Linked DNA regions of Lonchura striata. The protein of the gene in region 2 purifies or fractionates together with the protein of the main gene of each other region. This does not show direct contact. Links are inferred from orthologs where the notes say so. Each region holds a gene or a part of one and is shown on either strand. Other genes may lie near its edges.

The links.
Region 1: the proteins of EXOC1 (region 2) and EXOC8 purify together in Homo sapiens (affinity purification with mass spectrometry; 3 studies listed by BioGRID and IntAct, counting the BioPlex papers as one, with this or other methods). This does not show direct contact. The link is inferred for Lonchura striata from reciprocal best matches to the Homo sapiens genes EXOC1 and EXOC8.
Region 3: the proteins of EXOC1 (region 2) and EXOC6 purify together in Homo sapiens (affinity purification with mass spectrometry; 4 studies listed by BioGRID and IntAct, counting the BioPlex papers as one, with this or other methods). This does not show direct contact. The link is inferred for Lonchura striata from reciprocal best matches to the Homo sapiens genes EXOC1 and EXOC6.
Region 4: the proteins of EXOC1 (region 2) and EXOC3 purify together in Homo sapiens (affinity purification with mass spectrometry; 5 studies listed by BioGRID and IntAct, counting the BioPlex papers as one, with this or other methods). This does not show direct contact. The link is inferred for Lonchura striata from reciprocal best matches to the Homo sapiens genes EXOC1 and EXOC3.

What each region holds. Positions count from the first base shown.
Region 1 is NC_134605.1:43,611,151-43,618,804, forward strand, and holds the start of EXOC8 (exocyst complex component 8), read right to left. Parts: upstream 3,496-7,654; 5' UTR 3,471-3,495; coding exon 1,953-3,470; intron 1,292-1,952; coding exon 683-1,291; 3' UTR 1-682. Other genes in the region: DNA-dependent metalloprotease SPRTN, read left to right, coding at 3,743-4,002, 5,122-5,221, 6,015-6,143, 6,888-7,155, 7,449-7,654. UniProt on the Homo sapiens protein: Component of the exocyst complex involved in the docking of exocytic vesicles with fusion sites on the plasma membrane.
Region 2 is NC_134606.1:27,480,153-27,488,376, reverse strand, and holds the start of EXOC1 (exocyst complex component 1), read right to left. Parts: upstream 3,356-8,224; 5' UTR 3,243-3,355; intron 3,210-3,242; exon of another isoform or gene 3,051-3,209; intron 1,422-3,050; 5' UTR 1,412-1,421; coding exon 1,288-1,411; intron 453-1,287; coding exon 322-452; intron 1-321.
Region 3 is NC_134609.1:17,132,586-17,140,296, forward strand, and holds the start of EXOC6 (exocyst complex component 6), read right to left. Parts: upstream 3,252-7,711; 5' UTR 3,188-3,251; coding exon 3,066-3,187; intron 1,037-3,065; exon of another isoform or gene 981-1,036; coding exon of another isoform or gene 898-980; intron 1-897. UniProt on the Homo sapiens protein: Component of the exocyst complex involved in the docking of exocytic vesicles with fusion sites on the plasma membrane.
Region 4 is NC_134603.1:61,285,278-61,293,288, forward strand, and holds the start of EXOC3 (exocyst complex component 3), read right to left. Parts: upstream 3,656-8,011; 5' UTR 3,584-3,655; exon of another isoform or gene 3,537-3,583; intron 1,592-3,536; exon of another isoform or gene 1,589-1,591; 5' UTR 1,487-1,588; intron 819-1,486; 5' UTR 778-818; coding exon 634-777; intron 1-633. Other genes in the region: dynein axonemal heavy chain 5, read left to right, coding at 4,877-5,006, 7,721-7,821. UniProt on the Homo sapiens protein: Component of the exocyst complex involved in the docking of exocytic vesicles with fusion sites on the plasma membrane.

The DNA.
Region 1 (7,654 bases), on a different chromosome or scaffold from region 2:
AGGTTTGTTTTCAGACAACTATAATTCAAGCTGACAGGCCAGCTTACTTAACAGAAGAAGCCCCTTCACACAAACACCAGAACCTATATTAAAAGCATTTTTATTTCATTCTGCCTCTGAAATGAATTAAGATAATCTCAATGTTAAAGAAAAGCCTGCATTGCTACCACAAAAATCACATTGTGCAAATCCATGTCATTTATCTGCAGAGTCACATGTGGATGGTGGACGTGCCTTACTGAATACCACACCCTGGGAATGCTTCAGCACTTACCCTCCTACCAGAACACTGCCTTAAAAAAGAACTGCTACAGTGACATGATGAGAATTGATCTTTTCCTGCCATCTGCTGTATATGTATGTAAGACTTTCACAAACAATTGGCCAAAATTTGTGTATTACAGTTATTTCCCACGTCACAAATACTACACAAGCCCTTCATAGAGGATATGCTGTCAAGGACATGTGACCTCCACCTTCTCACTTCCCTACACCCCATCCAACAAGTAAAGCATTGCATGCTTGCAGGCATTGATTCAAAGTCTTCAGCTTCTGGAATGCAGCAGATAAGAGTTCTGCATCTTTCAGGGACTCAAAAAACCCCTGTTTAGTTCATCTGTTCAATGTACAACAATCTTCAGTAAGTGCTGCCACCTTGTTCTGAGGAACAGTTAGGTTCACTTCACACCACAGAGGTGGTACTTTCCGGATTTACACGCATCAATCTTGAGGCATTTCTCAGATCCTGTAGCTGCTTGGCTGGCTTTCCAACTCCTTCCTCAAACCTTTTTTCCACAACAGGAAGGACAGTTTCATACAGGAAAGAGGCATTCTGCCTAATGAATGCTTTTTTCTCCGGGTCCTGTTCACACCGTAAACTGTAATCGACATGCTGGACAGCCACCAGGATGATTTCCACCAGACTCTCCAGGAGAACCATATGCAGCTCTGGGAAGTAAAGCTTTAACGCTTCCTCCAAGAAGGCCATAGTCTGCTTAGTGAAAGCTACTACAGTGTAACTGAGGTTGACCCAGCAGTCATCCCCCGTGTATTGGTCAAAATTGCCCACCCCACAGCTCCTCATCTCCTCCCTGAGCTTCCCCAGTGCCTCTGGAGTCATCAGGTTCATCCTTCTCCACATCTCCTCAGAGTTGCGGTGCTTGGTGGCCTCGATGATGATATCCTTGTAGCTCTGCAAAGCACCTTTGATATCCTTTACCAGAAGGGCGTGAATAATGAAGGTGAGATCCAGTCCAATCTCGCTCAGCTGCTTGCAGTGCTCTTTAGCCACCTGGGATAACAAAGAAAAGCAAAGGATGTTATTAGTGTGCAGGCTCCCTTTTCACCTTACACATTTATCAAATTCATCTCAGAAAACTGAGATGGGTTACTCATACTTGTTTATCGTGCTTTAAGAATCTCATTAATGAGAAATTAATAACTGAAAGATACACCCTGGCTGTCAAAAAAACTCTGGACAATTACACTATGTAACCCACATGCACAAACTTTTTTTCCCCCCCTCCCAATCAGCAGCCAAAAGAAAGCATAACCTGAGAAAGTTAGTCTTGCAAAAAAAGTATGAAAATGTACCTAAAGACAGCCTTGGAGAACAAAGAGAAAGTTTTGAAGTACTTATAATTCAGGTGTAGTTCATGTAAATTTTAGGACCTCCTACTAGTTACAGGTAAATTAAGAATTAACACATTTTGCATTCCTGATAAAGGCAGGGTTTTCCTTGGCCTGTATTATAACCTTAAGGATTTCCTCTGTTAAACTGAAAAAAAACCAAACAAACCTCGAATGAATATTAATCTTTCAACTCAGGAAATCTTTCTGGAGACCCACACAAGAGTCAACAACCAAACCAGAGTTAGAGACGAGACTTTAAAGCTTTGAAGCCTTTGTTTCAGCTGCTGTGCCCCACCACCCAACTCTTTGGACTCTCTTACCTTGACACACTCTGCCGCAGTTGACAAACTCTCCTTGCTATCAAACACTTGCTTACTGAAGGCGTCTACAAACATCCTCATGGACGAGCGGGCCCAGACAACAAACGCCGAGTAGCAGCCGTTGTTGCCGGCGAAGTCCGTCTCAAACTCCCTGGCCGTCTCCAGCAGGCTGGTGAAGAAGACGTGGCAGAGCTTGTGGATGTAGAGCAGCGTGGCGCCCTCGATGCGCAGCTGCCGGATGGCGGTCTGCACCGCGGCCGCCCGGTTCTTCAGGAACAGCTCGCACGCCTTGGTGGACTGGCCCAGGCGAATGAGCTGGGACACGGCCCGGCGGGTGGCCCGCGGCCCTCCGCGCAGCGAGCGGTCCGGGGACAGCTCGAACACCAGCACGTCCGTCAGCTGCCGGACGCGCTCATCCACCTTGGCCCGCAGCTCCTTCACGGGCTGGCTCGCAGGCTTGTCCGCCAGGTACTCGTTCAGCTTATCCAACAGGTCAACCGCCCCCTCGAAGTCCCGCTGGGCAATGCAGACGTCCAGGTCCTCGGGCAGCTCTTGGATCCACTCAAGTGAGAGGTCAACAACCTCCTCCTCGGCGGAGGGCTCATCCTCCTCCTCCTCGTCCTCGTCGAAGGGGTTGGTGGACTCGGGGGGCGCGGGCGCGGGCCGGGGCAGAGCCTCCTGCTCCAGGCGCCGCTTCTCGCTGAGGGCGCGGCTGCGCTTGGTCTCCTCCAGCACCTCCAGCCACTCCTTCTTGATCTTGGCGTTCTCAGCCTGGAAGATGCGGCTCTCGGGGAACATGAGCAGTTTGAACATGTCCTTCATAGGCGGGTTGTCCTTGACGTTGACCACGGCCAGCCCGTCGAGGGGGTACAGGGCGTCGTAGCGGTAGGCGCCGCGGCGGCTGGGCAGGGCGGTGGCCACGAGCAGGCAGTCGTTCATCAGGAAGGCGTGCACCCGCTGGATCTGCGCCATGTGGTCCGCGTCGTACTCCACCAGGTCGCCGTTGTACACCAGGTACTTGCCAGGGCTCTCGGGCAGGAGGTCGCGGCAGCCCTCCACCTTCTCCAGGAGGGTGGTGAGAGTGCGCTGCCGCCCCTCCTCGCTGGCCGCCGCCTCCTTGGCCGACAGCGGCAGGAAGGGGTCGGCGGCGGCGGCGCGGCGGGCGCCCAGCGCGGGGTCGTCGCGGTCGGCTTGGAGGAGCAGGGCCTGGGTGACGGCCTCCATGATGCCCTTCTGCTCGGTGAGGATGTGGCTGAGCTGGTACATCTCGCTCTCCAGGTAGCTGATCTCCCGCGCCGTCTCGATGAACTGCCGGTAGTTTTGGTAGACATTGCGCTTCAGGCTCTGCGCCGTCTCCTCGCTCAGCGCCTGGATGCGCTGCCGGTGCTCCTGCAGGTCCCGGTCCCCGTCCGACTGCTGCGACAGCTGCTTCACGTACTCCCCCGCCGCGAAGCCGCCCGACTCCAGCTGCCGCCGCAGCCGGCTCCCGCCGCCGCCCTCGCCCAGCGACAGCGCCATGTCCGCCCGGTACCCGCCCGGCGACACCCGCCGCGCCTGCGCCCCGCGGCCGGAGCGACTGCCTGCGGTGACGGGATGGGGCCGCGCCGGCGGAGGCGGAGCGGAGCAAGCGAGGAGAAGGGAAGGAAGGGAAGGGAAGCGGCGCAGGGATGTGCCGGCCCGCGCACTCGGAAGGACGCGGCGGCGGCGCCCGCGGGGCGGTGCTGCGCGTGCGTCGCGGCCGCTGCGCGTTCCGGTTGCGCTCTGTGCCGGCCGACGGAGCCGCGCTCGGGATGGAGGACGAGGATTTCCTGTTGGCCCTCAGGCTGCAGAGGGACTGGGAAGAGCAGGACGAGGCAGCGGCGGCGGCAGCAAAGCGCCCTGATGTCTCTCCGTACGGCTCATCCCTCCGCCCGCTGTCGGTGGTGGACGAGGCGTGGGAGCTGCTGGACCCCAGCCCGGACGTGCACGGCCTGTTCGTGCACTTCAACCAGACGCTCTTCTGGGGCAAGCTGGAGGCTGTCACGGTGTCCTGGAGCCCCCGCATGACCAGGTGCGGCAGGGGGATGTGGGCCGAGCTGCCGGGGCTGGGCTGTCCCGGGCCGGTCCGTGTGTCCGGGAGCTGCCGCCGTGCCGCCGCCGCCGGCGTGCGCGGTGTCGGCAGGAGCTGTCGCTTGTCTGTGCTGCTCCTCGCCGTGCCCCGCTAGCGCCCTGCTGGTGCCGTGGCTTCTCTTCCCGGGCACTCGGATGTTCCGCAGCGCCGGCAGAGCCCGGACGGCGGGACGTGAGTTGGTCGCCGTCATTGTCTCCCTTGCCTTGCATCTGTCGTCCGTGGCAGCCACCAATGGCTTTCCACGGGATGCAGGCAAGCTGGAGGGATGTTAAATGGAAGAAATTACTTGGTCTTAGATGATGTGTATGGAAGCCTCACATGCTCGTGTTGCTGCTCTGGTTCTCAGTTTTTATGATAGTTTTACTGCACAGCAGAAGGACAAATATGAACCAATAATAGTATATTAGAAAAATTTAGAATGGGCTAGGAAGGGGAACATAGAAGAAATCTGAGGTTAAACAAACCTAGAAATCTTTAAAGTGCAGGCTGCAGTTCTGCAGCAGATGCAGTTGCTAGCAGCTGGAAGTCCCACCACCTCGTATCCTCTGCTGGCTGCGGTATTCTTTAGACATTTGGAAACAGTTGGATGTTGCACCGATTGAGGGCTAACTCAGTAGGACTAACACAAACAAAAAAAAGTCGTGTTTGCTGGATTAGTGCACAGAAGTGGAGGTATATGTAGGTTCAGTATGAGCCAAAAGTTGATGAAGGGTGGGGAGTAAAATTGAAACAACTGCCAATTAAGTCTGCATTTGCTGCCGTGAATCTCCAGCCTCTGTGCAGTGTATTTTAGTTCATCACAAGTTCTAAAGGAAACATTCTTCTACCTTAAAAACCAGGTTTTTCTACTATAAGGAACTTGTGGATATTTTCTTTCTTTGCTTAATGATGCTGAATTTTTCAGGTAACTACTCAAAGTGATTTTATTCCATGTTCTGAGTGACCTAGCATGTGTTTACAGGGGATGGCATTCTGACTTAAATTCTCTGTTTTCTTCATGTGCTACAATGAAGAAAGAAACAAATACATTTTTGTATTTTCTTTCTTCTTTCCTTTCAGCTCTGCTGGTATCTGTTCATATCACAAAAGTAGTGGGTTGTGTTCCATTCGTCTCAGTGAGCCGCTTCTAAAGTTACGGCCGAGGAAGGATCTTGTGGAGGTATTCGAACATGGCTTATGAATCTGCACGTGAAGTGTTTTGTGCACACCCGCCACTTCATACAAACATTTTAGATTTCATAGTGGGATTCTGTTATGCAGTAACTTATAGGTCATAAAATAGCACTGGCTTTACTGTTACATTCATGTGGCTTGTGTTGCAGTACCATGGTAATCTTTAGTTTTATGTTTCTAAGTGGGCAACTCCCAGTAGAAGTCTTAAGTCACTTGTTTATTTTATTGACTTTATATAGAGAAAATAACACCCCAGGCTTTTAACTCCAAAATTATCCTTTAATATTCAAACCAAACATGGACTATAGTTTTGAAAGGGCCAACAGCAGAAAATAAGGATATAGGTTATGACTTAACATGACATTTTATTGCTTTTGGGCCTCTGCCAGAGTTGCTGCTTGGAGCTGGCTGAACATTCAGATTTGCCTAACAACAGAAATGCTGTAGAATTTCAGCTTGCTCAAAATGGCTCTTTTTGGGGGCTGTGTAGGGGATGATGTCTTTAAAGATCCAATTTAAATTTGAGGATTATATCTCCTTTTTGGAATGCTGCTTATGGAAGTGATATTATGCAGTGTGTTTTAGTGATGTGGGAATAGGGGTAATTTGGTTTGATAGATCAAAGTATTATGTTTTTATGACCCAGACTGAGTATGTGAATAATCAAAGATAAGATCAGTAACCACAATCAATGTAGAAGAGTACAATACTTGCAGCTTAATAATGAAACTGAAAATGCAATGCTTTTCATTGAATATCTAATGGTTGCATCATTTCAGACGCTGTTGCACGAAATGATCCACGCCCTGCTCTTTGTTACTCATAACTACAAAGATCGTGAGTCCCATGGACCTGAGTTCTGCAAGCACATGCGTCGTATTAATCTCCTGACTGGAGCCAATGTCACAGTAAGAATAATCCTCTTCACCTTCTTTAATAGAGCTTTCTTCCTGATTTGCTGTTTTGGTTGACTGGTGCATATTAAGTAATGTTCTTATTAGACACTCCACAGTTGGTACCAATACAAATTTGCATCCAAGTGTATGCTAGTTCCATAGTTATTTGTTGGGGATGGTGGTGGAAAGAGGTTGAGGAAGATGTGGTGAGCTGTTAGTCATGTAATTTTCAGGTATGTTCTCTGTAAGAATTTTTCTTTAAGCTTTTGTGGTAAATTAGAAAGAGCTTAAATGGTAGCAGGGACAGAAGTGCTCCATGTGAAGAGCAGTCAAGATTTATGTCAATAGAGGGTCAATATTTCTGTCAATATTTAAAAATAATGCATCTAATAAGATCAATTAAGGTAATAACTGAAAGGAGAATACAATACTGGTATTGTTTGAAATGCTTTCTAAACAGTACATCTTCTATGTGAAATTGTAGATAGATTTCCAAAATTATCTTTTTGCAGTTCCAACAAGATAACCAGGACATATTCCTACGCTTCCTATCTTTTTTTTAAAGCATTGTTGATAAATTTTTACTCAGATCTAGCTCTTAACTGCTAATATAAAAATCACAGCAGTAGTGGAAGGAATTGAATGGAAACAGATTTTTTTAAAAAACATTTTAGAGCTAGTGATATAAAATTTGTAACTTCCTGAGTGACTGTTCTTTTGTGGATTTTGTTTGTTTGTTTGTTTTTCTAAATGTAGATCTATCACGATTTTTATGATGAGATTAATGTGTACCGCCAGCACTGGTGGCGGTGCAATGGCCCCTGCCAAAACAGAGCGCCTTACTTTGGATATGTGAAGCGCTCAATGAACAGAGCACCCTCTGCACATGACTTCTGGTGGGATGAACATCAAAGGACGTGTGGGGGCACGTTCACAAAAGTGAAAGAGCCAGAGAAATTCTCGGAGAAGTCCAAGCAGAAAACTCAGGCAGCAAAACCTCCACATTTCAAGTCAACTAATGAAGGTATTTTATGATTTTTTTTTTCTTTTCTGAACTGATTTTTGTCCAGAAGTTTTCTTGAACAAATATGGACCAAACACTACATAAGCTTGGTTTTGATGTTACTGTTATGTAGCCAAAGAACAGGGCCTTTTGTTTTTGCACTTCTAGGCTGCTCCTCAACTGTATTGTCTACAAAATGTTTAGTTTGACGCATTATTTTCAAGCAGCAGATTTTTTTGTGTGAAGCACTTCAAATAATAAGCCCATGACTTTTTAATGAAAATATTAATTTATTTTTTAATCTGATTTTGCAGGCAAGACACAAATGCATGGTAATTGCAAAGACTTGACTCCTTTTAGTGGAACGGGACATCGGCTTGGAGGAGGAGACGGTGTACTTTCAGAGAAAAACACAAATGCCATCAGCTCCACTGCAAACAGTGAAGCACATGGCTCATTGCATCATTCAGCAGTAAGGACATCACCAATCCCTAAAAACAAGATAAAACTGGAAAAATTA
Region 2 (8,224 bases):
ACATAAGACTAACAACGAAAAAGTACTACTAGTCCTTAGCAGATGCTCTCTACAGTCACTGCAAGATCACTACAACTAACAGGGCAGATATTGAGACTACTGCTATTCAAGTGTATCTAGACTACTCTTACTCAATTTACCAGGGTTATAGTCTTGCAAAGGCTGAAAGAAAACACAGGCACAGGCAGCACAGGAATGTATCATCTTAATTAACCTGTTATCAATCTAATTTTTAAAGTAGCCAGTAACAAGGAAGTTAGGTCTAACTTGGAATGAAGAAGATCATGGGAGCAGAGGACTAAACAAAAAAGTGCCACATACTTTAACAGCATCTTTGGCATCAACAACAGCAAGGTCTCGAAGTGCCCATGCAGTCTGCCTTTTGTAAAAATCTCCCTTGTCAGATTTTTTCACTTTTACCACGTTCACTTGCACTGGTCGTTCTGTTGTCACTATTAAATGAAGTAAGAGAGTCATTTCAAAACACACATACTACTTTCACATCTGTGTCTGCTGTACTTCAACTTCCCAAACAAATTATCTGTGGGGGAGATTTGTTAGCATTTATCTGATGAAAAGAAACATTTTGAAACCTTTTCATCCACAATAACCGCAACTCAGTTTAAGTCTCAACCAAACAGGTATACTTCTCTATACAGCTTGTGAGGTAATGACCCCAATTTTCAGCTATTTCTTTGATGCAGCAGATCTTGGACCATGACCACATAACTGACATAGCACAGACATAACTGGAGAGTACAGTCAGAATGAAAACATTTTCAGACATTTTTCAGTCAAAAAATATTCTAGCAAGCTAATTTATTGACAGATCAACACAAAGCACCTAGTTTTTTAAAGAGATAAAATGTAATAAACATACACTTCAAGGAACATTAGAACTCAATGCAGTTGCTGTGCCTTTCCTTGGTCTCTAACCAGTATTCTTTAAAGCATTTTATTTAGGCTTATCAGCTTAGATTATTACTAAACCCTGTTTTAAGCACTACATAAAGCTTGTTTCAAAAGCCCACCAGTCCCTAGAGAATACTATTTCATTCTTTCCTTTCAAATTACAATGAGATCAGTGAATAAAAGTAGTGGGGTTTGCTTCTTTTTTTAGTAGAAGCAATAATGAAAGTACAAGTTATAAATAATTTTCTCCATTAGGAATGGAAAGCACCTGTTTTATACAAGTCAAGAATAAGAATTGTACATAAAGCTAAAACAAATGCAACCAAGAAAAAACAAAGGTGAAGATAAGAAATATAGTGTGGTATTCATATATACCTGTGGCACACAAAAAGCAGTTCCTCTTCTTTTTGCCTGCTTTGCACACATTCACAATGCTCAATAAACGTTCATCATTGGGAGTGAAAATATCCCTCTGCAAAGCATGCTTGATTGCAGTCATTTTCTCTCAGCTGAAAGATTTTAGGAGGTAAAAAATAAACTCAAGCATATTTACCAGACGCACGAGAAAAGAACCTGTCATGTACTTACAGTAACCACAGGATTTTAAAATCCAATTTTATAGATAACTTAATGACTTGTAATCTAGACAGGCATGACTTGGGTAGAAGACCAGACCACTTTAGGAAAAAAAAAAAAACAAAAACCTTACTTGTTTCAATTAGAAAACTGTAATTTATTAATACCTGGATAATTCTTGAGCTTAAATTAATGGAGTACAAAAAGCTTCTTTGTAGTAGAGGGAAATACTAGGCATTCAATAAAGTTGAAACTGGAACCAAGGAAAAAAAGACCATCCAATACTCAAGCTTGTAGAATTCAATCACATAAGCCCAAAAAACAACAAACAAAACAAAACCAAAAACCCCTCTCCAAGCTCCAGAAAATTAAGGAATTAGCAATATTTACTTGATTAAGAACAGTGCCTCACACTAGAGATTTTATCTAGACTGAACAGAGAAACACATTACACATCACATTCAAGCGTTTTTATTCAAATACAGAAGATTCAATATTATCTGTGCCTTAAAATTCTACAGTTCATTTTAAAAAAGCATGATTAGTACACACAACATACTACACTGCTGGATGCTGAGACAATATATAGAGTTGAATTTCAGGTTGGGTTGTTCTCTTGAAGATGCCCGAGTTGTTTCCTCTGATAAACCCATAGAAAAGACAAAATCTTGGGCACTACAGCAATTTTGAAGATTAGAAAGTTAAGAACTTTGTGAAAACAAGGCCACGATGCCAAAGTGAAAACAGTATTGTCAACAGCGCTCAGGGCATGCTGTTTAAATGACACCCTATGGCAATGTACCACTCCATAGCTGCTAATAATTTTCCTTCTCTTCATCAAATGCTGGGCCCACCTTTTGTTTCCCCAATTGTACCAGGTCACCATTCGTGTTACTCTTCAACAGATGCATAAGATGAACACACAAAATACCAATAATCTGCTATATTTCAAATTCAGATGCCTCTTTCCTTCCTTATTTAGGATTTTATTTTCTGCTCTAAGTCACAATCAAGCTACTACAAATTGCTAACTCTCCTATTTCAGTGCTATCACAAGTACTGCAGGTTAGGCAGAGTACACCTTTCCCACATCATGATAAATCCAAGATCCAAGACTGGCTCTCATAAACAGTTCAACTTCTGAATTAAAAACTCAGTTCTTTTAGTCACAGCCACCAAAACATTCACAGTGTGCCAGGACCAAGCACAAAATTAAGCTTTTCACACTTGAATCCTGCTGCCTCAAAGGAACACAGAATTCAGCCTAAGAAGCTGGAAATAAACATTTCCTGTAATGAGCCAAACAAAGGCTACATGAAATTTGTTCGAGACATGACATCCCAGCCGCGGCTTGTCCAGGAAATACACGCCAGACGGGGCATGGCAGCGTGGTAAAGCTGCTCAGCACTGCCTGGCCTCTCTGAGGGCGCAAACAGGAAAAGACGCTGCTCCCGCATCCCACCGGCTCAGAACACACCACAACAGAACGCAGCCCAACCACAGCATCGCCGGAACTCAATCACAAGATCAACAAATGGACAGAAAAACCTCAGAAGAGCTACCTAGAGCAGCGGCGGGCTCCCGAGGGCCCGTCTGACACCGCCTCACCGCCTCCCACCTGCGAGTCCCGCACAAGCGGCCCCGCCCCGAAGCCGGAGGCACGGCCACGGCCGAGCCGGCCCGCGGAGCACCGCGCCAGCCCCACGCCTGGACGGGGGAAGAGCCGGAGGGTGCCGGGGCCGCCTCGCTCTCACCGCGGCACCGGGAAGCGCCGGGAAGCGCCGTGCCAGGCCGGGAAGCGCCGGGCCAGGCCGGGAAGCGCCGGGCCAGGCCGGGAAGCGCCGGGCAGGACGCGGCGCTCCCGCCGCAGCTTCCGCCCTCGTGACGGCGGCGCGCGGCTCGGGGCGGGCTGCCCGCGCAGCGCCCCCTGGCGGGGAGGAGTGGGCGCGGCGGGCGCGGGGCAGAGCTGCCGCCCCCAAAGTGACGTCAGCATTCTCCAGTGACGTCACGGCAGAGGACTGAGGGGGTTTTGGTCCGTTAGGGGACAAATGGGTCCACAGAAGAAATGCAGATAAACTTGGTACTTAAAGAACATACAGTGCATTACAATTTTGAATTACAGTGTCCAGCTCAGACTGCATGCTGTAATTCCATTTGGCCACAGCATCAGGACTAAGGTCACTTCATAGAATCAGCAAGGTCGGAGAGACCCTTAAGATCATCAAGTCTAACCATCCACCCAGCACTATCACTGCAACCCCTGAGGCATTAAACCTTATCACCCAGTACTAGATCCAGACACTTTTAGACCACCTCCAGGGAGAGTGACTCCACCATCCAGGCAACTTATTCCAATGTCTGACAATACTAACAGTGAAAAAGAAATTCTAATATCTAATCTGAATCTCCTCTGTCTGAGCTTTAGGCCGTCTCCTGTTGTCCTCTCACTGCAGGCACAGCAGGAGAGCCCAAAGCCCTCCCCACTACAGCCTCCTTTCAGGGAGCTGTAGAGAGCAGGGAGGTCCCTCCTGAGCCTTCTCCAGGCTGAACAAACCCAGCTCCCTCAGCTGTTCCTCACAGGACATGTTTTCTGGACCACTCATTAGCCTTGCAGCCCTTCACTCCAGCACCTCAATTTCTGTTTGAAAGTGAGGGGCCCAAAACTGAACACAGTACTGGAGATGAGGCCTCACCAGTGCTGAGCACAGGGGGATAACCCCTGCCCTGGTCCTGCTGGCCACACTATTGCTGACACAGGCCAGGGTGCCATTGGCCTGGGCACTCACTGGCTCATGTTCAGTTCATATTCATAATCTGTGGACAGCAGTCAGATTTTTGCTTTGCTCCTAGGTAGAAGAATCTGGACTAATTGGCAGTCTTTGATGTCAGTGATAATCCAAATAGGAAAATTATGCTGAGACTAGATTTAGGATTTAGCATGAGAACTGATGTCCAAATTGGTTATAGCTACTTGTAGTCATTGATGAATTCTGTGGAAACTGGAACTACCTTCACTGTGACAGAGGTTCACCACATGATCAATACACTTACCTAATTTTTAGCATTGTTAATGTAATGGAGTGCAGAGTTAAGGATAGACTGAAATCATTCCAGATTACTTAAATTGTATATAATTTATTAATTTTAGTGTGTATCTGATAAAATGTATTTGCAAGGCCACCACCAATAAACAGAAAACATCCTTTCCAAGGAATTGTTTTAAATTTCCAGTATGTGGATTTCTAACATGTAGAACTGTGTTTCTGTAATTCCTGTATCATATTTCTACTTGATCAGGAGCATTAATTGAGATGAGCTCAGTTGATTACAGCATGGTGTTAACATCACCAACACCGTGGGTTTGAGCCCCATATGGGCAATTCACTTAAGAGCTGGATTTGATAATCCTTGCATGTCGCTTCCCAGAATATTCTGTGATTAAATATGACTGACCAATTAAGTCTTGCTGAATGTACTTTTGTTTTCTCACTTACAAAACAACATGCTGTATGATTCTATAATATATCATTCACGAGGGCCATGGTTAAAATAGAAGTTATAGTTTGATAATTTCTCAATTCAGCCACAAAATGTGTATGTCTGTCTAGATTTATAAAGACTGGACAAGGCAGCCATAAAATACTGGACAATGTTCCATAAAGCTGTTGTTATTAGGGAGAATGCTAGTTTCCTAACTTTTAGCTTTAATTATGCTAAAAGAAAAAGGAAACCACACTAAAATGCCCTTTTTACTGCTAAAATGGGTTTACACATAAAAACTGATATGAGATTATCTACCCTGTGCCATCCTCTCCCCTCCTACTTTAGATGCTCTTCCACAAATGCTCTTTAGAAAGGGTGTTTGATCTTTCAATACTGACTTTAAGTCATGAAAATATATTCTTAAATTACATATTAAAAATTATGGAATACAATCACTCACTTTACTAGAAAAAAGATTTCTATGCTGAAAGTGACTGAAAGCATTGGGAAATAGGTAGCTGGCAGGGAAAGCAATATAGGCTTGTGTTGGAAAGAAGTATGTTATTATAGGTATGACTCCAAAACACAAAGGAGAAGAAGTATGAGAAGTAACCTAGAAGGCACAGTCTAGAACATGCTCCCTGTTCTCTTTCACTGCCATTTTTTTTTTTTAAATTCCACACTGATCTGCATTTCCTTAATTGAGGATGCAAGAAAATATTAGCTAACCATGAAAAATAAATTCAAAGGAGAGGAGTATTTCTGCTCTCAATAAATAAAATTTAAATAAAATCTATTGTCATAGGTTTCCCCGTAGTCTTAATTCCGATGTTTTTAAGATAAATACCTTTAAAAAATCACCTGTCTTCTATGACAGCCTCTGTTCCCTTTCTGCCTGTTATGTGAGCATGAATTTCTGTCTGCTTATGATCACTCATCTTCATTTTCAGGCTGCCATGTATTTTCTTCTGTCTGGAACAGAGTTGGCTAATTGCTTCTGAAGAATGTCTTCTGAAGAAAATCTGCATTATATCCTCAACCTCACATATTCATTCTAATCATGTAGTTGAAACCGTTTATAGGAATGCTACAGATTCATTCCTATAATCCTTTACTCCCCTCAGTTTGTTCCTTGTCAGTTTTGGAGAATTCTTCCAGGAGAACTAGATTAATCCCCAGATACTTTTTTCCAACTACATTCCATTTACCTAAGGTCAGGAAATGTGATGTAGGAAATAATTTTGCATTAACTGAAAGATGGGCTGTTTAGCCTGTTAGATCTTTTCCATTCATTATTTAGCATATTCTCTGTGTCCTGTGGTGCAGCCACGCTATGCTCACCACAAAGTGATAGTGTCCCTCAGACTTCCCATAGCACATCAGGCAATTACAGAGTCTTGGTAACTGGCATCTTAGAGAGAACTGTGTGAAAGTAAGGAGCCCCTAGATTCAGTCCACAAAGATCTTTTAAACTCTTCCGTTTTATAGTAACTGAAATAATTTACATGGACAATGTCCCTGGTTTTCCCATTTTTTTTTGTTCAGTCTGACTACTCAATTAAGAATGTCTGAAATACTACATTATCAGAAAGAAGAGATGCCAGATATTTTAATTCCATATTCTTCCACAGAAAATGCAGGTTTGTGTCTTTCAATATAGTTCATGACATGTTTATATCACACAAGAATAAAAATGTATAAACTACCAATGGGAGTCCATTGAATATGGTTGAACATTATATTAGCTTTTTAGCTATCATTATTTTCTAAAATGATACACACAATTACTGGGCAAGAATTCAGTATACATGTACTTTATTTCAAAGGAATGCTCTGAAGTGCGCATTTTTAGAGTTCTAACAATTACAAGTTGAATGATGAAAGCTTTTCCAGCCAGAAAACATTTCCTTGTGCCTATTAAGGAAAGAATTTGTAAATATTGTGGAAAACATTGTGACCTCAACAATCAACACACAATTCAAACAAGACAATGTATCATAGATAGCAGTAGCATGAATTCTACTTCCTATATAAGATGGTTTTGTGGAACCTGGATGTTGGGCAAATACTTCTTGTAGCTAATAATCAAATGTCACAGCATGCCCACTTACACTGGATTATCCCAAAGACATTCTCCAAAGAACAACTGTATTATGCAAACAAACACTAAAATTACATTTCTTCTTTCTAACAGTATTTCGGTGGCAAATTTAAGACCTTACAAATGCCAGAGGATTTCTGTTACCCATAAACTGCCCTCACAGCTGTCTTACTGTACAGTAATAATTACTAAGACCTGTGTTAGAACCAACGTAATTTGCAATATATGCCTAGAATAAATATCTAACTTCTGAATATTAACTAATAAAAGGTATGGGCTTTTCTATATAAACACAATAGGATAACATTTAAAAAGTAGAAAGCTGTAATTTTTACAGGTTTTCAAATATATTCTCACTTATTTGATATTATTTCAATTTTGAATTCAAAGTACATTTACACAAATGTTTTCAAAGGTGGGAGTTCACATGAAAGACAAAGTCCAAGCCACAAGTACAGCAGAGTACCCTTGCACAGATATCCCATGTTAGAGATGAGCAAGGATATGAACCAGCCTGTGATCTACTGGCAGCTGATATCTCAGCTCCAGGTCCATACCTGCTTTAGCCCACAGCCTGCCTTCCTGGTCTCTCTTGGCTACCAAAGGAAAAAGAATTTTCTCCTGCAGGACATTCTGACCAGAAGCTTCTCTGAATGGAGCTTACTTTGGGTCGGCATTTTTTTATTCACTATGGGATGAACAGCCAGCTAACTTAGCTGACTGACACTGGGTGTCAGCGATGGTGACACCATGCTTCTTATCATTAACATTGTTCTCTTCAGCTTCTGTTCAACACAGCTGCCACTTATCCTCTGTTTCTACCATAGTATACTGCTAACACAAGTCCAGCTGTTACATTTTGTGAGCTGTTCCAAGCAATCAAGACTCCACCCCATAGTAAATGTAGCTCTAAGTACTAATGTGTCTTTCGGTAGTGCACTGAACATGCTTATACTTAGCTAGAAATTGGCGAAAATAATTCTCATTATTCTAACTTTGAAAACTCTATCATTTGCCTAAAAAGTAACTGTAGTAGCCAACAACTGCTGTTTTCTTATCCTTTGGTTTAGAGATAGAGACACTTTCTGTTCCCTAACCACAGCTGTTCATAAGTGATGAAGGGCAAGAAAGGACATATTAATGTTATGGAAG
Region 3 (7,711 bases), on a different chromosome or scaffold from region 2:
TTAATCGGGGAAGCACCAGCAAAGCTCCATGATGAAGATCCCCTTTCCCCTGTGTTTCCTCAATAACCCAATTCACTTTCCACAGGCCCTGCCCTTATCTCCCAAGCTCTAAGTGAAACGTACTTCCACATTCGCCTCTAACAGGAAAGGTTATGCAAAACCTTTTTTTCAAAATGCAGGCTAAGCCATTTGGCAGTATGTGGAATTGGAGGAAAAATACAGAAAACCAAACCACTGCAGTCATGGCATACCAGAAATCTTCTAAACACCGTCACATTTCCAAGCAAACTGACCAGGGACTAGTAGGTATCAGACCGCATCATTAGAGGTTGCACAGTGGAGCAATACAACACCCACCCATGATTCGGTTTCGGCCCCGTTCTCAGCACAGAGCCGGGGGTACCGGCACACCCCGAAGCTGAGCCGTGCCCAAGGGCGGGCAGCAAAGCCCGGCACTGGGCACGGCGGGCGCCCCGAGCCCGGCCATCCGCGCCGAACCAGGGCCGCGCCGTCCCGAGGCCGCACGCCAGCCCCGCCGGAGCCGGGCCGTGCCCAGCTACTGCCCCGGCTGACAATGCCAGGGAGCGGCCAGCCGGAGCTCGGCCCCCCTTCCCTGTCAGAGCGGCGGCACGGCTTGACAGCCCCGCTCCCTGCCCGCCGCAGCGCCCGGGACGGGGGCCGGCGGTCGGGCCCCCACGGAGCGGCAGCGGGGCTGCGCGTCCCCTCCGCACCCGGCGCGGCCGCTCCCGCCGGCGGCGCTGCGGCGGCCCCGCGCCGTCCCCGGGGAGCGCCTGTCAGAACGCGCGGCCGGGCCGCGCCGCGGCTCCCCGGGCCGGCGAGCGGGCAGGGCGGGGGAGCCTCACCCGCCGGCGGCGCCGCGGCCGCCGCGCCCCGCACCTCAGGGTGGGTCCCACGCAGGCCGTGTCGGTGCTCTCGATCTCCTGCAGGATCCGATCATGCTCGGGGAGACTGTCCGCCATCTTGGATGGGAGGGACCCGCCGGCCGCGCCGCTGCGGGAGACGCCGAGGGAGGAGCGGCGGCGGAGCCCGGCGGGGGCCGGCGGCAGCGGCCGGGGAGGGTTTGCCGGTGCGGGGGGCAGGGGCAGGTGGCGAGGCGCAGGTCGAGCCGGGCCGCGCCCTTCGGGTTTGCACCGGCTCGGCGGTGCTCCGCTGCCCTTGTCACGGCAGGGCTAGGCCGGGGGAGTCCGGCAAAGCCGCTCCGTCCCCGCGGCATCTCTGAGCGCTGGTGTCCGGCAGAGACCGCGGGCGGCTGCGCCCGCCGGGCCTCAGCCCCTGCGGCCCGCTCAGGGCTCTGTGGCAAACGAGGGACGCGCAAAGTGCGGCCCCTGTCCCGCACGGGCCGGCTGCCCGCCCACCGCACCGCGCTGCAGAGACGCCTTGAAGGCTTGTAGGGTTCAACACGACCTTTTCCACTGAGCTAGTTCTGGTTTGGTCTTGTGGCTAGTTCATGGTGTGGTCTTGTTTTTTTATTATTATTTGGTTTGTTTTGATTCGACCGCTCCCGCACGTGCGGGCTGTGCCCGTCCCGGCAGGGAGGAAGGCACCGAGCCCTGAGCTCTGCGGGGGTTTCTGCATTCACGTTATGTCAGTCTTCATTCCTTCCATTCTTTACGTGATAGAAACTTGGGGGTCGGGGTAAAAATAGAACAAAACCAAGACAAAAAAAAGTTTTGCACCTTTATATGCAGTGGCTTGCTGTTTGACTAGAAACTGACATAGTGTTTCCTAATGCCTTGTACAGCAAAGCGTCTTGTGTCAACGAAGGAGGAATAACCTATTTTCTATTTAAATTTTACACTTCGTGGCCTGTGGCCAGGGATTAATTAATTCTTGGGTTTTGCATGTTCAGGAGACAGGATGCACCTGCTTTCTGGGCAAAATGATCTGCACACAAGTGGGAAGTTCTTGTGAAGAAATAGGCCAGATATGTAAAACTTCAGGGTGATGTGTAGCTACATTTTCCAGTAAGGAACTGACAACATTTGACAAATGTGAATGCATCAAAGTCTACAATTGCATTTGGCATCCTTCCAGTTATTGTTATCAAGCCCATCATCTCTCCTGCCCTGGTGCAACTACACCTGTACACGAGTTAATAAATGGCACCGAAGACAGTGCACATCTTGTCTATGCTTGTGCCTATATCATATTCAGTGTTGATTCAGGTTGTTGATTCACCTACTAAATCAACAAGGACTATTCTGAATGTAGACAAGTGCTTACAAAGTGCATAATTAAAAAAAGGGAAAAATCCTACCACTTGTATTTCCTTCAAGAAATTACTCAAATGCTGTAACAGTTTTCCCACGTTTCTTCTTTTTTTTTTTCCCATCACCAAAATACTGAAGTTATAGATTGACACATTTTTCAGGGTATATTTAATTTTCTTTTTTTAGCCTGATCGTTAATGCAACCTGACGCCTACAGTGCTAGGCAGGCTATTTTTAAAACTCTTCTACAAATACTGACAATATACTGAGACAAATTACATTGCAATCTTATATATATTACTTTTTAAAGGAGAAATATGCAGAGGAATTTCTTCAGTTGCACTTTTACCATTAAACAGTTTCCGTAAGCTACAAATAAAAAAAAAAAAAAATCTTCAGCTATTTAGAAATATCAGCAGTAAAACCTTAAGTAGTTCTGTCTTTGGTGATTAAACAGAAGTTTCATTTATTAAAAATTTAAGAAGCACTTAATTCTTTAAAAATGTAGCTGTTAACTTTAAACTTAAAACACTGTTACGCAAAAAAGAAAATTTCACCTTGTTTTCATTTTTGAGAACACTTTCTTTTTTCACAAATCTGCAGCCAGCCATCAGAAACAGATCAATTTGTCCAGGTGAAAAGAAAGAGCAGAGTAGGTGACCTTGGTTTGTAGTTTTTCACTTAGGGCCAATCACATTGAAATTAAGCTCAACTTTCTGGTAGGCTTCAGGGTCAGGAAAACAAAGTTTCTAATATATTGTGCTGACTGAAAGAACAACTATAGAATGGAACACATCCATCATAAAGAGTATAATACTAAAAAAAGAAGCATACCTTAAGGTGGTTCCAAGAGGCAGCTCAAAGGACTGGATCTCAGCAAGGGCATTTTCATATATCTGATCTTTATTTTCTTCTAGATAAAATTCTGAGAGATTTGACTTACTTTTCCTTGCCATAGAGTAGGATAAAACTAATCTAACTTTAGGAGAGGACTTTTATTCTGATTATTATAGTTGACTAAGTGACCGTAGTCAGCAAAACCAAGCATAAAAAAAAAAGATCCTGTGCTAACCTCGTGACTCTTGAGGACTTTGTGTCCAAGAATGGTGCACAGCTGCTCTTTTCCTGTCTGCTGGTATCATTTGCCTCTTATGCACTACCCAGGGCTGCACAGTCTCTTTTGTGTGTGTGTGCCTAATACATATTAGTCTTAACAACAAAATTCCTGCCAAAATAATATTTTTGCATTCTTGAAATAAATATTAAACCTGAAATTTAGGCGTTTTGAAAACACAACTTTAAAGGAATTTTAGACACTAGACATCAATGCTTAATTACTCTGATAAGTTTTATGAGATTATTTTTTTTTTAATTAGGTTTTCCTTTTGCTATATAAAAAGCTTGCACACAAGGACTTAGCTGGATTTATGAAAAAGATTTATGGATCTCCTAAAGCAGATTAGAAAAACAGAAACATTTATGTTCTCATAATTTTCCTTTTCAGCATTAGTAGTTGCTATTTATAATAATAAATTGCAGAAAAAGCTTTGTGATAACTGTTGGGTTTATATGTGTGAGCAAAAAAAAAAGCTGTTACTAATTTATTACCTGCATGGAAAAAAATGGATAACAAATGTTGAGAGTAGTGCTGCTGTCACATCATTTTCATGATGATGGCAAAGAAAACACTTTGCACAACTGCCATGGATTACTTTAATTTCAAACATGAGACTGGAGTTCTAGATCTTTAAGTTTAAACAACTGTTTAGAAGCCTAATTCAATATCATTTGGATAATCAATATATTTTGTTTTTTATAAATATTTCAAAGGTTTTAATCAGAATTTGGCTCCTGATCTCAGTGCTGTCCTGACAGAATTGATTAATCCAGACACTCGTGGTGCAGTCAGCAGTTAAGTGCAAGGAAACAGAGCTTACTCACTTTTGAGCAGAGTGATAAACAGTTTATTCACTTCTCTGTGCCCAGTGGGAACAATGAGGAGATGGGTTCACATCAGTAGCAGTGGGAAGGAGCACTAAAGGTTGCAGTGAGTTAGGGCTACATACAGATTTGCAATGTTTTTCCTTGAACAAGCTGCTTTAACCACCGGTTTATTTTTGAACCAAAATTAAGCAATTGCTCTGTTAGCATTATTATGCAATACATTTCCTGCTTTCATGTTCTACGTGGAATTGTGAGTAATTTTTACACTTTTCACCAGAAATGAGAGCCTGCGATTGACCCATTCAGCCACTGGATGTCACACAAACGCAGATGAAGGGAATGATGTTGAAACTACTCATTCTAATCTTAACAGTCACCAGATTCAGAATTAATTTAACAATTATGAGGTGACACTGTGCAAGTAAACTGTAAATACTATAACAAGCTTAAGCTTATTCGTGTGATGGAAGAAAGTACATCTACTGCCACTGTGGAAGAGCAGAGGCAGGGCAGGTAAATCAGAGGTGCCTCAGACATCTACACCCAGCCAGCACACACTGTGGCTGGCAATCAAAATAGAACTCAGTGATGGAAGCATGACGATTTATACAAAATGCTTTTATGAATACGTGATTTTAAATTAGTTCAATTCTTACAGAGGCTTTGGGTGAAATTTCTTTTTCCTCCTCTTCCAAAAATTTAAACAGTAGCTTGCTTTAGGAAATCAGCTAACCAAAATAAACAGGACTCTGAATCTGTTGTGCAAATGTTCTTGTTGGTATCGCAGCTGCCTGGAAATAAATATGTTTAATAACAAAGCAAAACAATGTAAGAAGAAGCAAACAAATACAAAGGTGAATGACCAAGAAATAGGCAGATGTTAGAGTCTCTTCAGTTGTGGCAGAGGGTGTTGAAGTACCTTGGTTCTTTGGACAGGATCAGACCAAATTGCACCAGGCCTGGCTGCTCAGCTCTCCAGGGTGTTTTTCACCCCCACTGAACCTAAGACCATGACACCCAGAGGATGATCCAAGGTGCAGTGGTGGATCTGTATCTGACCTGAGATCATGGGCAGCAGTACATTAACACCTGCCAAAAGCCCTTTCTGCTGCAATGACCCTGCTTCTACCCTGTGCTGTCTGTCCAGCCTCTGCTCCCCTTCCCCACTTCTGTCATCTGCTCCTCCCCACCATAATTCCAGTGCTGATTAGATGTGCCCAGCATCTACATCTTTCAGTCACACAGGAGCTTTTCCTGTTTCCAGCTGAGCTCAGGGCCACTCTCAAAAGGTTTAGGGAACTGCCTTGTTCAAGGAAATAAAGTATTTTTTGTAAAAATACAAAGGGACAAATTCAGTATAGGCACTTGACATCCGCTTCTGGCAGAACAGTGTATCTTTGCTTCACAACTATACACAACATACTTGGAGGCTACAACTAAATAGTTTGTCACCAAAGACAATGCTAAGTAATTTTTTTCTCCATGCAGAAAAGGACAGTAGACATTATCATTTCTGAGGTATCATACTTGTACTTGTTCAGATTTAACCAAGTTAAGAAGCCTGAGAAGGTATTAATCTTCTAGAAGTTCCTGGCAGAAAAATAAGAAGGTATCTTCTGTGCTGGTTAAATTCACACTATTTCTGTGAAGGAAGTATTTCATTATCTGGATAGGCAGAAATCTCAGGCCCTGTAAGATGTAGAGCTGTTGCCATCTTTCCAATCATCCTGAGGTTTTCCTTTGAAAAAATGATCCAAAGCACCTATTTCATGCTGAAGGTGTAAAAACAGTTTGCAGCTCAGAAGAGAGCAAGAGGGGAAATTGAGGCAAATTATCAACAATATTGTGAAACAGGATGCAAAGGCTTGTCTAAAGCAAAACCACTTTCACCACGTCCTTTCTCCCCTTCCTCCCCTAATTCCTACTCTTCCCCAACCCTAATGAGATACCAGAGGGCCAAGAACTGCTGGTTTAAATCTTGCCTGCCTATGTTGATACTTTAAAAATACATTTTACCCACATGACCTTACAAAAAGTATAAAGTGCTGTAGAGTAGGGTCCTTACTGTGTATGCAATTCCAGTGTAGATTACTTCCTTTTTTTACAATTGCCAGTACACAATTAGCAGCTTTGAGTCTGTTTCATTTGCTTTCCCAGTTGGATTGGAATCCATTTTGAATGAATCATGGAAAAGAGAGAAGAGGGAAAATGTCCACCCTCAAATGGAATTACTATAGATAATTTTCACATGCAATGCCATCCATAACAAATTACTTCATTGGTCATTGCCCAGATATCTCCTCTTTACATCCCTCCACAAGGACAACAATGCCATTAGTCATTTCTCTGGCATCTCCTGCTCTGCTACTGCTTTCTTTCCTGGGCTCATCCCCAGACTGGATCCTTGCAAACCAGCTCTTTCTCCCTAGAAACTGAACTGCTCCCATTCCCGTTGTGCCTGGTTTTCTGGTGGCCAGACCCATTTCTGCCTCTCAGATGAAGCATGGTAGCAACAACCTTATCAAATGATTCTTGGGGAAAACAGGCAGATGAGGAGATGATGGAATTACCGCTGCCATTTTTTACCTTTTAACTTTTTGCCTAATATATAGTGAGTACATTAGGTATTAGCAGGGAGGTTACCTTTTTTCTTTCCAGAGCATTTAAGTGAATTATGTTTTCTGAATTGTAGTCAAAATCATAAATACATTGACTTTTTCGTTTTAATTATACTAGATTTATGAATTGGACAGTGTACGTAACAATCTTCACTAAAATACCAAATAAACAATGTTCTATTTCACATAGGGGCTTTTTATGGTAAATTGTAAGAACAGCACATATCTCTCCTGTTAGGTGTGCAGTGCATCACTAACTGCTTTTGACATTTCACTGACATCTTACAAGTGCCTAAAAATACTTGGAGAGATCCACAGCTGGTGCTGATGTTATCTTTTTAAGAGTCAATAAAGGCATCAAACCTACTGGTTGAACAGAAGCACTTCTGTCTGACTGCAGTGGAAAGGAGAGTCACTGTCATTGCATGTGTTTATATAATGCTAGAGATGCCATTGAAGAACAAGTACTATTTCATTTTCATTGCAACATACAAACCATATTTTTTTAGCATACCGTTTGAATGATGCTACAAAGTAGCATCTTTATCATTCTAGAAATGCATAAATGCATTCTACAAAACACTGATGCATCTTTTTCTCTCTGCTTACCAGTACTTTTAAGGAACAGGCATTGACTAAAACCCTGAGTCAAGGACATGCCCTGGGAGCCTGAGGGCTTTGCTTCTTTATAGGCAGTGAAGAGCTCTATTACAGATATTGCCCTGGAGGACATTACTTTCCTTGAACAGGAGGGCTTTTTTTTTTCACTACACTTTTAAGAGCATCCAGTCTTAGATAGCCACAGAGTTTATATTCCTTATGTAACCCAGGAAAACTTTCCTGAGGAAAACAGCCCCTGTTCTAGTCTGGGGTATGAACGAGTCAGAAATTAAAACTACCTGTATGTTAGGATGAGTG
Region 4 (8,011 bases), on a different chromosome or scaffold from region 2:
TATAAGATTAGATAAAGTGTATACCCGAGAAAATGTTTCCCAAAACACTTTTTTAAGACTAAACTCCACCTGCTTAATACAGTGGTTTAAAATAACTATTGGCAAATACCTGTGAAGGAAGAAAACAAGAAAGTCAGTCAGTGTGTGTGAATGTGCAGCCACTCACGTGTACACATGCGAAGGAGGAGCAAAATCATGGGGTCACTTCCACAAGAGACAAAAATGTGATATATTTTAGCTATCTTCCCTAAACCCATGTAAAAGTCAGAAGGGTAACTGACTGATCCTTTTTCAGATGCAATCATCAATTTTTTGTTACAAGTTCAGTATTCAGTCACTAAGAGAAGGCTTTGTTGGCTGACAGGCTACACAGCAGGGTAGCTGTGCATGAATAAACTGCAGACCTAAGAATACTTGAAATGCTTGAATGAAACATTAGTAAGATGTACAATGTCAGTTTGCATTACTTTCAGGACACAGATTTTCTGGTTTGGACACAAAGTAAAAACTGAAGTCCCTGGTTTAATACTATCCATCTGGCTGAAATGCAGATTCAAAAAAAAAAAAAAAACAGAAAAAAAAAAAGTACACTCATGATACAGCACAGACACTCAGGTTTATCCAACTTTGTACCTTGAGTCGAGCTTCTACTGAAGCCTTCTTACGAGCTTCCCTTCTGCGATACTGTTCCACTTTATCCAGCTGATCAGGACGCTGAAGCATTCCTGCTACTCTCTGAACAGCTGTTGCAACTGCTTCCCTATCCGTTTCCTCCATGGCTGGTTAGGACCTCAGAATGCCTTCATTACTTAACAGGACTGAAAAGAAATAAAACATTTTTTAAAAACCCACCTTTTTTCATTTGATGGCTATGTGAAATTTCAAAGTTAACAACTGGAGAATTAACTTTGGTAATAAAAGCAGTGCAACTTGTCAGAAGCATCATTAAACTACATTCTAAAGAGAAGCAATTGGAATTCTACAAGAACTGCATTTAAAAATACTTAACTCAGTCTCATTAGTTCCCCTGCAGTGTTTTTGGTTGCTGTTTTTACATTTACTTTGATCTAGATTTGAATTAAAAATAAAAAAATACCACCAAAAAAACCCACCACCCCAAGACCACCAAATCTTCATGAAAAGAAGAGATTCTATTTAATCCAAGGGTAGGTTGGCCTATTAAAAGGGTAATAAGACAAGCATAATGAGATCTTGTAGAAAGTTCAAGCCGAAGTCCTAACTCATCCTGAACTACAATTGGGTGGACTTAAGAGAACCACAGCCCTCCTGAGCAATAGGTCAATTCTCCTACCAAAACTGGAGAGAAACATAAGCAGTGGAAGCTCCAAGCACAGAGACTTAATGATAGAGCACTTTCATTTAGGCTTCTGATAGGTAATTTTTTATTTTCTACTCTTGTTTTCAGTTCTCACAGTATCAGTCTAGTCCATCAGGGGTATAGGGAAAAATTATTCAAGTATTTCACCTCAGTCTCCAGCAGAATTTCTAGTGAAGTCAAGACTTGCAGGCAAACCAGTACGGGGAAGAGGTAACATCAAGGCACATCTGTTCTCTCAGACTTCATTAGCTACTAACAGAAAATAGGGAGGATCCCATCACCAAAGATGCAATACCATGGTGTCCAGAGACCTCAGAGGAATGTATCTGGAGCTCCTCATTGTTTCCAAATGATTTCCAATATTTTATGTCTTTAGCCTTGCAACCAAACAGAACATTTTAGGTCCTGCTGCCACAGCTAGAGATTATATTCTCTCATACCCATATTATTCCCTGAAATTCAATATCTGTTTTCAGAGCAGTCTGCATTCATAAACCCAGCACATCACTTAGTCTCAGCAGAATAGTGATCTAAAGAACCATGCAGAGTACGCTACAAAAACAAAGTGCTCTTTCTTTTTGCTGAAAGAGCAAAAGCAAGAAAACTCATGGGACAAGCAAAATTGATAAATGAAGGAAACATTGTGTGGGGGCACCCAAAAAACCCTAAGAAACAATCGAAGCAAAGAAAACTGCTCACAACACCTCACAGGCAAACTAACACTCCAGCCAGTCTCTGAATAATCACTACCCTGGAAACAAAACCCCCATAATATTTTATTGCTAAGTATGATATACAGTAGGGAATTTCCCTTTGGCCAGTTTGGGTCAGATGTCCCCACTGTGCCCTCTCAATCTCTGCCCACCCCCAGCCTACTTGAGGGGAGTGGAGGGCAGATGAGGAAAGAGAAAGCCTTCACACTGGTACAAGCCCCCTGCAGCCATAGCCAAACACCGCAGTGTGAGCAGCATTCCTTCTGCCACAAACCCAAAACACAGACTGTACGCACTGTTATAAAGAAAGTTAACTACATCCCAGCCAGACTCTGTAGAGCATTAGCAAAATTCCTAATTTTTTAATTTATCATGGCTAAAGAACATTCCAGGCAAGGCTTGCCCGTGAGCTCTGGAAGAGCCCAAGTCTATGTCTCAAGTTCTGTATCTCAAGTACCTTCAAGAATTACATACAAAAGTATGAACTTATTTCAGAGTTACTTCAACAGTGTAAACTCCTGTACTTCTTTACTACTGGCCTGGTTAAGTCAAACCATGTTTCATTTCTTACTCTTCATCTAAACATGCAAGATCTATTTCCACCACTTGTGCTTTGGAATGGATACTCCAGTTTCATTTGGCTCAATCCATTTCCAAGCTATAAGAGCTCTACCTAAAATTTAAAAAAATGATACTTTAAAAGTATGCATTTATTACAAAAATGGTATTCTGCAGCAGAGAGCTTTATCCTGAATTACTGCCCTTATTAAAAACTCTGAATACATCCCACAGAGTTACAACATCTTGAGTTCATACAGCCACTACCTAGGCACATCAAGGAGACCTCGTCAGCAGAATCAGAAGCCAGCACACTGTAACTAACACGCCGAGGCAGACAGGCTCTTGTAGAACCACCCAAAAGGAACAGCAAACTTTAGGAAGCCACGTCAATCTCTTACAGAAGCTGTGAGTCAAAACTACATACATCTCCAGCGCAAAATAGAGGCAGAAGTGAACAAAACTACGTCCCAAGCCGACTCAGGAAGGCTCCAGCTGCAATGGCACCCTTATCCTGGGGACTGCCGCTCCAGAGGCGAGCCAGCGGGGCTGACAGGCTCCCGGGGGAGGCCCTGCTCCCGCAGAGGAGCGCAGCGAGCCCTCCGAACAGAGCTCGGGGGAGGCAGCGGCGGCGGCCCCAGACCCGCCCGGCTCCTCCCTGGCAGCAGCGGCTCAGCTCCAATCACTCGCACCGACGCAGGTGCCCGTCCGTGCCGGGCAAAGGCCGGAGACCTGTCCGCGGGCACGCCGAGCTCCTTCGCCCTCCGCCGCGGCCCCGGGACAGGACCAACCTTCAGCACCCGCTATGCCCCCAAAACCCCGGGGGGCTCCCCGGATCGCCCCGGCCCATCCCGCCCCCCACCCCCTCGGCTTCCCACTGCCACACCGCGGTCCCTACCACCCGCGACAGCCCGGCAGGGGCTCACCGGCCGACAGCGGCGGGGACAGGGCGGGACGCGCGGCCGCCACTTACCGGGGCCGCGGCCGCCCCTGCTCGGGAGGCGCTGACAGCCCCCGGTGCGCCGGCGCACGCCCGGCCGCGCACGCGCACCGCGCTGCCGGCGCCGCCGCCTCCTCCCCCTCCTCTTCCTTTTTTTTTTTTTTTTTTTAAATATAATTTTAGTGTCAAGGGGCGCAGTGTGTGCTACGGGGGCCTGGTTCAAAGTTTTTGAAAAAAACAAACAAACAAACAAAAAAAGCCAGTAAAAACTTCACGACTCCTGTGAGGTGTTAGAGCTTTGGGTTGGGGTGGTCGCCTGCTGCAGTGGGTGTCGTCTGGGGGAAAGAAAGGAAGCACACGGAGTGATTTCTTCACGGGATGAGTTGTTAAGGGTTGGAAAGGGCTGCCAGAGGGAGCTGGTGGAGTCACCGTCCCTGGAGGTGTTCAGGAAATGAGTGGATGTGGCTCCGTGCCATGGGCTGCCTGACACGGCGGTGTTGGGTCAGCCTGGGTGGACTCGGTGACCTCAGAGGTCTTTTCCATCCTGATTCTGTGATTCCGTAATGAAAATGGATAAGCCGGCCAAGCTGCACTTGACGCGGCGCCTTCAGATCCGTGCGGAAGCTGCTTTTCGCGGCAGAGGAGAAGGGGAGCCCCTCGCTCAGCCCGCGGTGCCCCCTCACGCCTCGCCCAGAGCCCAGGGCGCTGCCGAGCCAGCGAGGGCTGTGAGAGAAAACTACGGTGCTTTTCAAAAGACAGGTAGTTAAGAAATGGGCACCGGCTTGCTGAATCCAGTGGGAAATGGGGACAGGCGAGCTGCCTGGTGGGGGCTGGGTTGCTCGCTGGGTTTTGTGTAGGGGTTGCCATAGCAGCTGCCAGCAGCTCCAAGTGCCCAGGGGAGACCGCAGGCGTGAAAACCTGCTTGGGATTCAGCAGATGCCGCAGCCGGAGCTCGGTGCCCGGCGCTTCGCAGCGGGACCTGCAGGAGCTTCGGAAGGAGCTTAACCTGTCCCCCAGGTGTGAGTTCCCACCTGCGGCAGTCTGATTGGACAGAAAGTATAGTTGTGCAGTTAGAAATACAAGTTTTGGTAACCTGCATAAAGTTTTGGCACTCTTAAAGAAGATTTTATAATTTCGACAACTGCTTAGATCTTCTCTTTTTAAATCACCGACTGAAAGTAGAGGTTTTTTTCCCCCCTTCCTTGCTAGTCTATCCCTGACGGTGGAACAGGGATAAAAATACTGAAGGTGGCTTTATTACAATGTTACACTGTATAGTCATTTTCTGTATTGTTGATTTAGGTTGATTTTTCTGGAGTGCTGCAGATGGAGGAGACTGTAGGAGGTGAAACTGATGGTCACTCTGCACAGCAGGAGTCAGAGCAACTGAGAGCAACGAAACTTTCTTCGAAACCTCATATTGATCTCTGTCCACCTCTCATTGCCATAAAAAAAGGTAAGGGGAAAAAATAATAAGTACTTCATGTCAGCTTTTCATGGGAAAAAAAAATCAGGAAGAAAATGAGGAACCAATTATTAAGTAGTGTTTAGTTTTATATATACTTCGTGGGTATGTGCTATTCTGAATCTGCCACTGTAGGGACCATGTGTGCTGAATGTGCAGTTTTCAGCTTTATAAATAAATATGTACATATAAATAAATAAATAAATAAATGTATGCATGTATGAATCCACAGTGCAAGTCTGATACCATAGCAGATTTCATAGTGTTGAATGTAGTTGTAGTTGAATGTAGTGTTGAATGTTGAATGTAACACGATTCAAACAATTTTTTAAAATGAAAATGACCAGTACTCCATAAGATTTTGCAATATCACACATAATATGGTATCTCTTTTCTGGAATATTTTAACAGTGGTAATAGATTAAATTAGTTAGTTCAAAGGTTATTGGACATAACCATCTACCTCTGTGTCTAAGGGAGCATCTTTACCTATGTTCACTTTGCTTATGTATTCGCTGACCTTGTGGAAGGGGATCATGTTAGATAGTACTGAATAAATAAATATTCATGGCAACTGGGAGAGGGGTGTGAAGTCTGGAGGAAAGCTAGAAAGGCAAGAAGGAGAACAAAAGGCTAGTTGGCCTCACCTCAGTCCCTGGGAACGTGGTGGAGCGGCTAATCCTGGATACCATTTATAGGCACATGAAGAACAAGAAGGTGACTAGGAGTAATCAGCATGCATTTAGCAAGGGAATAAATGTGAACAACCTAATTTCCTTTTGAAATTAAATTATTGGTTTGATAGGTGAGGGGAGTGCAGTGTCTATGGTTTGCCTTTTCTTCAGTAAGGCTTTTGACATTCTTCTGTTGAGAATTTTTTATTGTTCCCCTTGAAGTGAGTTATACACACATTTGTCCTGAAATATATTTAAAAAATAGTAAACAATGCATTGGACAGTCTTAAAACCATGACTGATTCTACAGGAAATCTGCAAAGATGCTTCTTGAAGCAATTTCTTGTATACACTTGCACCAGCACCAGTCCTGTGAGCATCAGCATGGAGCACCTCAGCACAGCCTTGGATCCATCCCCCAGCACCAGCTCTGCTGCCCAAACATAGAATTCTGAGCTAGGCATTACAGGATAGCTACAAGAAAAAGCTGTGGCTGTTTCTTATCACCAAGGGAAACAATACTCCCTTACAAGGATTGTTCTGCCTCTGGTATTCCTTCCTGCTTCCAGCTAGCTTAACCCCTTCTGCAGTTGGACCTTCTTGCTCTCTATGCCAGATTGTTTCTGGGTTACAAAGTACCACTCATGAGCAGTTGCAATTTAAATTTCCCCTTTGCTTCTGAAATATCCTCATAGAGAAGCCATGGAAGTGTGGGCTGTCTGAGCAGAAAGTGAGATGGATTGAAAACATTGCACAGACAAGCTCAGAGGGTAGTGATCAGCAGCACAAAGTCTGGCTGGAGCCCAGAAGGTAGCAGTGTACTCCAGGGGACAGTATGGGGTCCAGTTCTGTTCAACATCTTCATTAATGATCTGGATGGTGGAGCAGAGGGTACCCACAGCAAGGTTGCTGACAGCACATAAAAGGGAGGATTGGCCAATAAATCAGAGGGTTGTGCTGCCATCCAGAGGAGCTTAGAGAGGCTGGAGAAAATTGCTGCACCTAGGGATAAACCAGTCCATGCAACAATACTAGTTGAGGGCTGAACAGCTGGAAAACAGATTGGCAGGAAAGAACCTGCAATTCCTGGTGGGCAGCAAGTTGAACATGAGCCAAGAATGGCTCTTGTGGCAAAGGAGGCTGATGATACTGTGGGGTGGATAAGGAGTATTAAGAGAGCAGATTAAGAGGGATGATCCATGATCTCCATTCAGCAGTGGTGAGGCCTCACCTGCAGTAAGCTTGCTTTAGGCTTCTGAGTACAAGAGAGACATGGTTTTACTAGAGAGTCCAGTGAAGGGCCATGAAAATTATGAAGGTAGCAGAGCACCTCTCCTGTGAGGAAAGGGTAACAGCTGGGTCTGAATGGGATCTTCTCTATGGATGTAAATGCCTGAAGGGACTGTGTAAAGAAGAGGTATAAAGAAGATGGAGTCAAACTCTTCTCCAAGGTGTCCAGTAATAGGACCAGGGGCAATAAATGGTGGAAACTGAAACACAGAAAGTTCTATCTGAACATCAGGAAACACTGTGAGGGTGACTGAGCACTGGTGCAGATTGCCCAGGGAGCTTATAGAGTCTCCATCCTTGGAGATACTCAAAAGCCATACAGAAACTGTCCTGGACAACTAGCTTCAGCAGTATCCCTTCCAATCTCAACCATTCTGTGATTCTGTATATTATACATATTAATCAGTAAAAAAGATATACAATTTGATGCAAAATTTATATGGAAATCAGTGCTATTAGAATTTGAGTTTTAGTCACAATCTTTTAAGTTATATAAAATAGATTAAACAGTAATTCATGGAAGTTTGGTGAGCCACTCATAAGCATTACTGCATGCTCCACTGGGGATCCTATTTGCTGCCAATGATGGGATGTAAATATCATATTTTGAGTAATAAATTGGTCTCATTTTCTCCAGTATGAGAAAAAGTTAGCTAGCAAATATGAAGATACAACACTGCAGGTCTTGTAAATGCATTTGTTGTACTTGAATAATTAGAACTTGTAATTTCTTTTAACTAGACACAGAAAGCAAAAATCATAGACATGGGGACAACCTGAGGACAAGAAGCACTGAGCTAGGATCTGCTGTCACAGGATCATCTCTGACTACTGTTCTTCCGGCAAGTGTTTTTTCTAAAACAGGTGGTGGGTTATTTAAGTACCTTTTGTCTGCTAAATGTTCTTGTATATAGATTTTTCTTTAGGTCTTCACTGACAAAAGCTTGTCTAATATTGAAGCATGCTGAGTTCCTTCAGTCTCTGTTAATTGCAAGGAAAAAGAAACAGTGAACCACTAAAAAGTTTCTACAG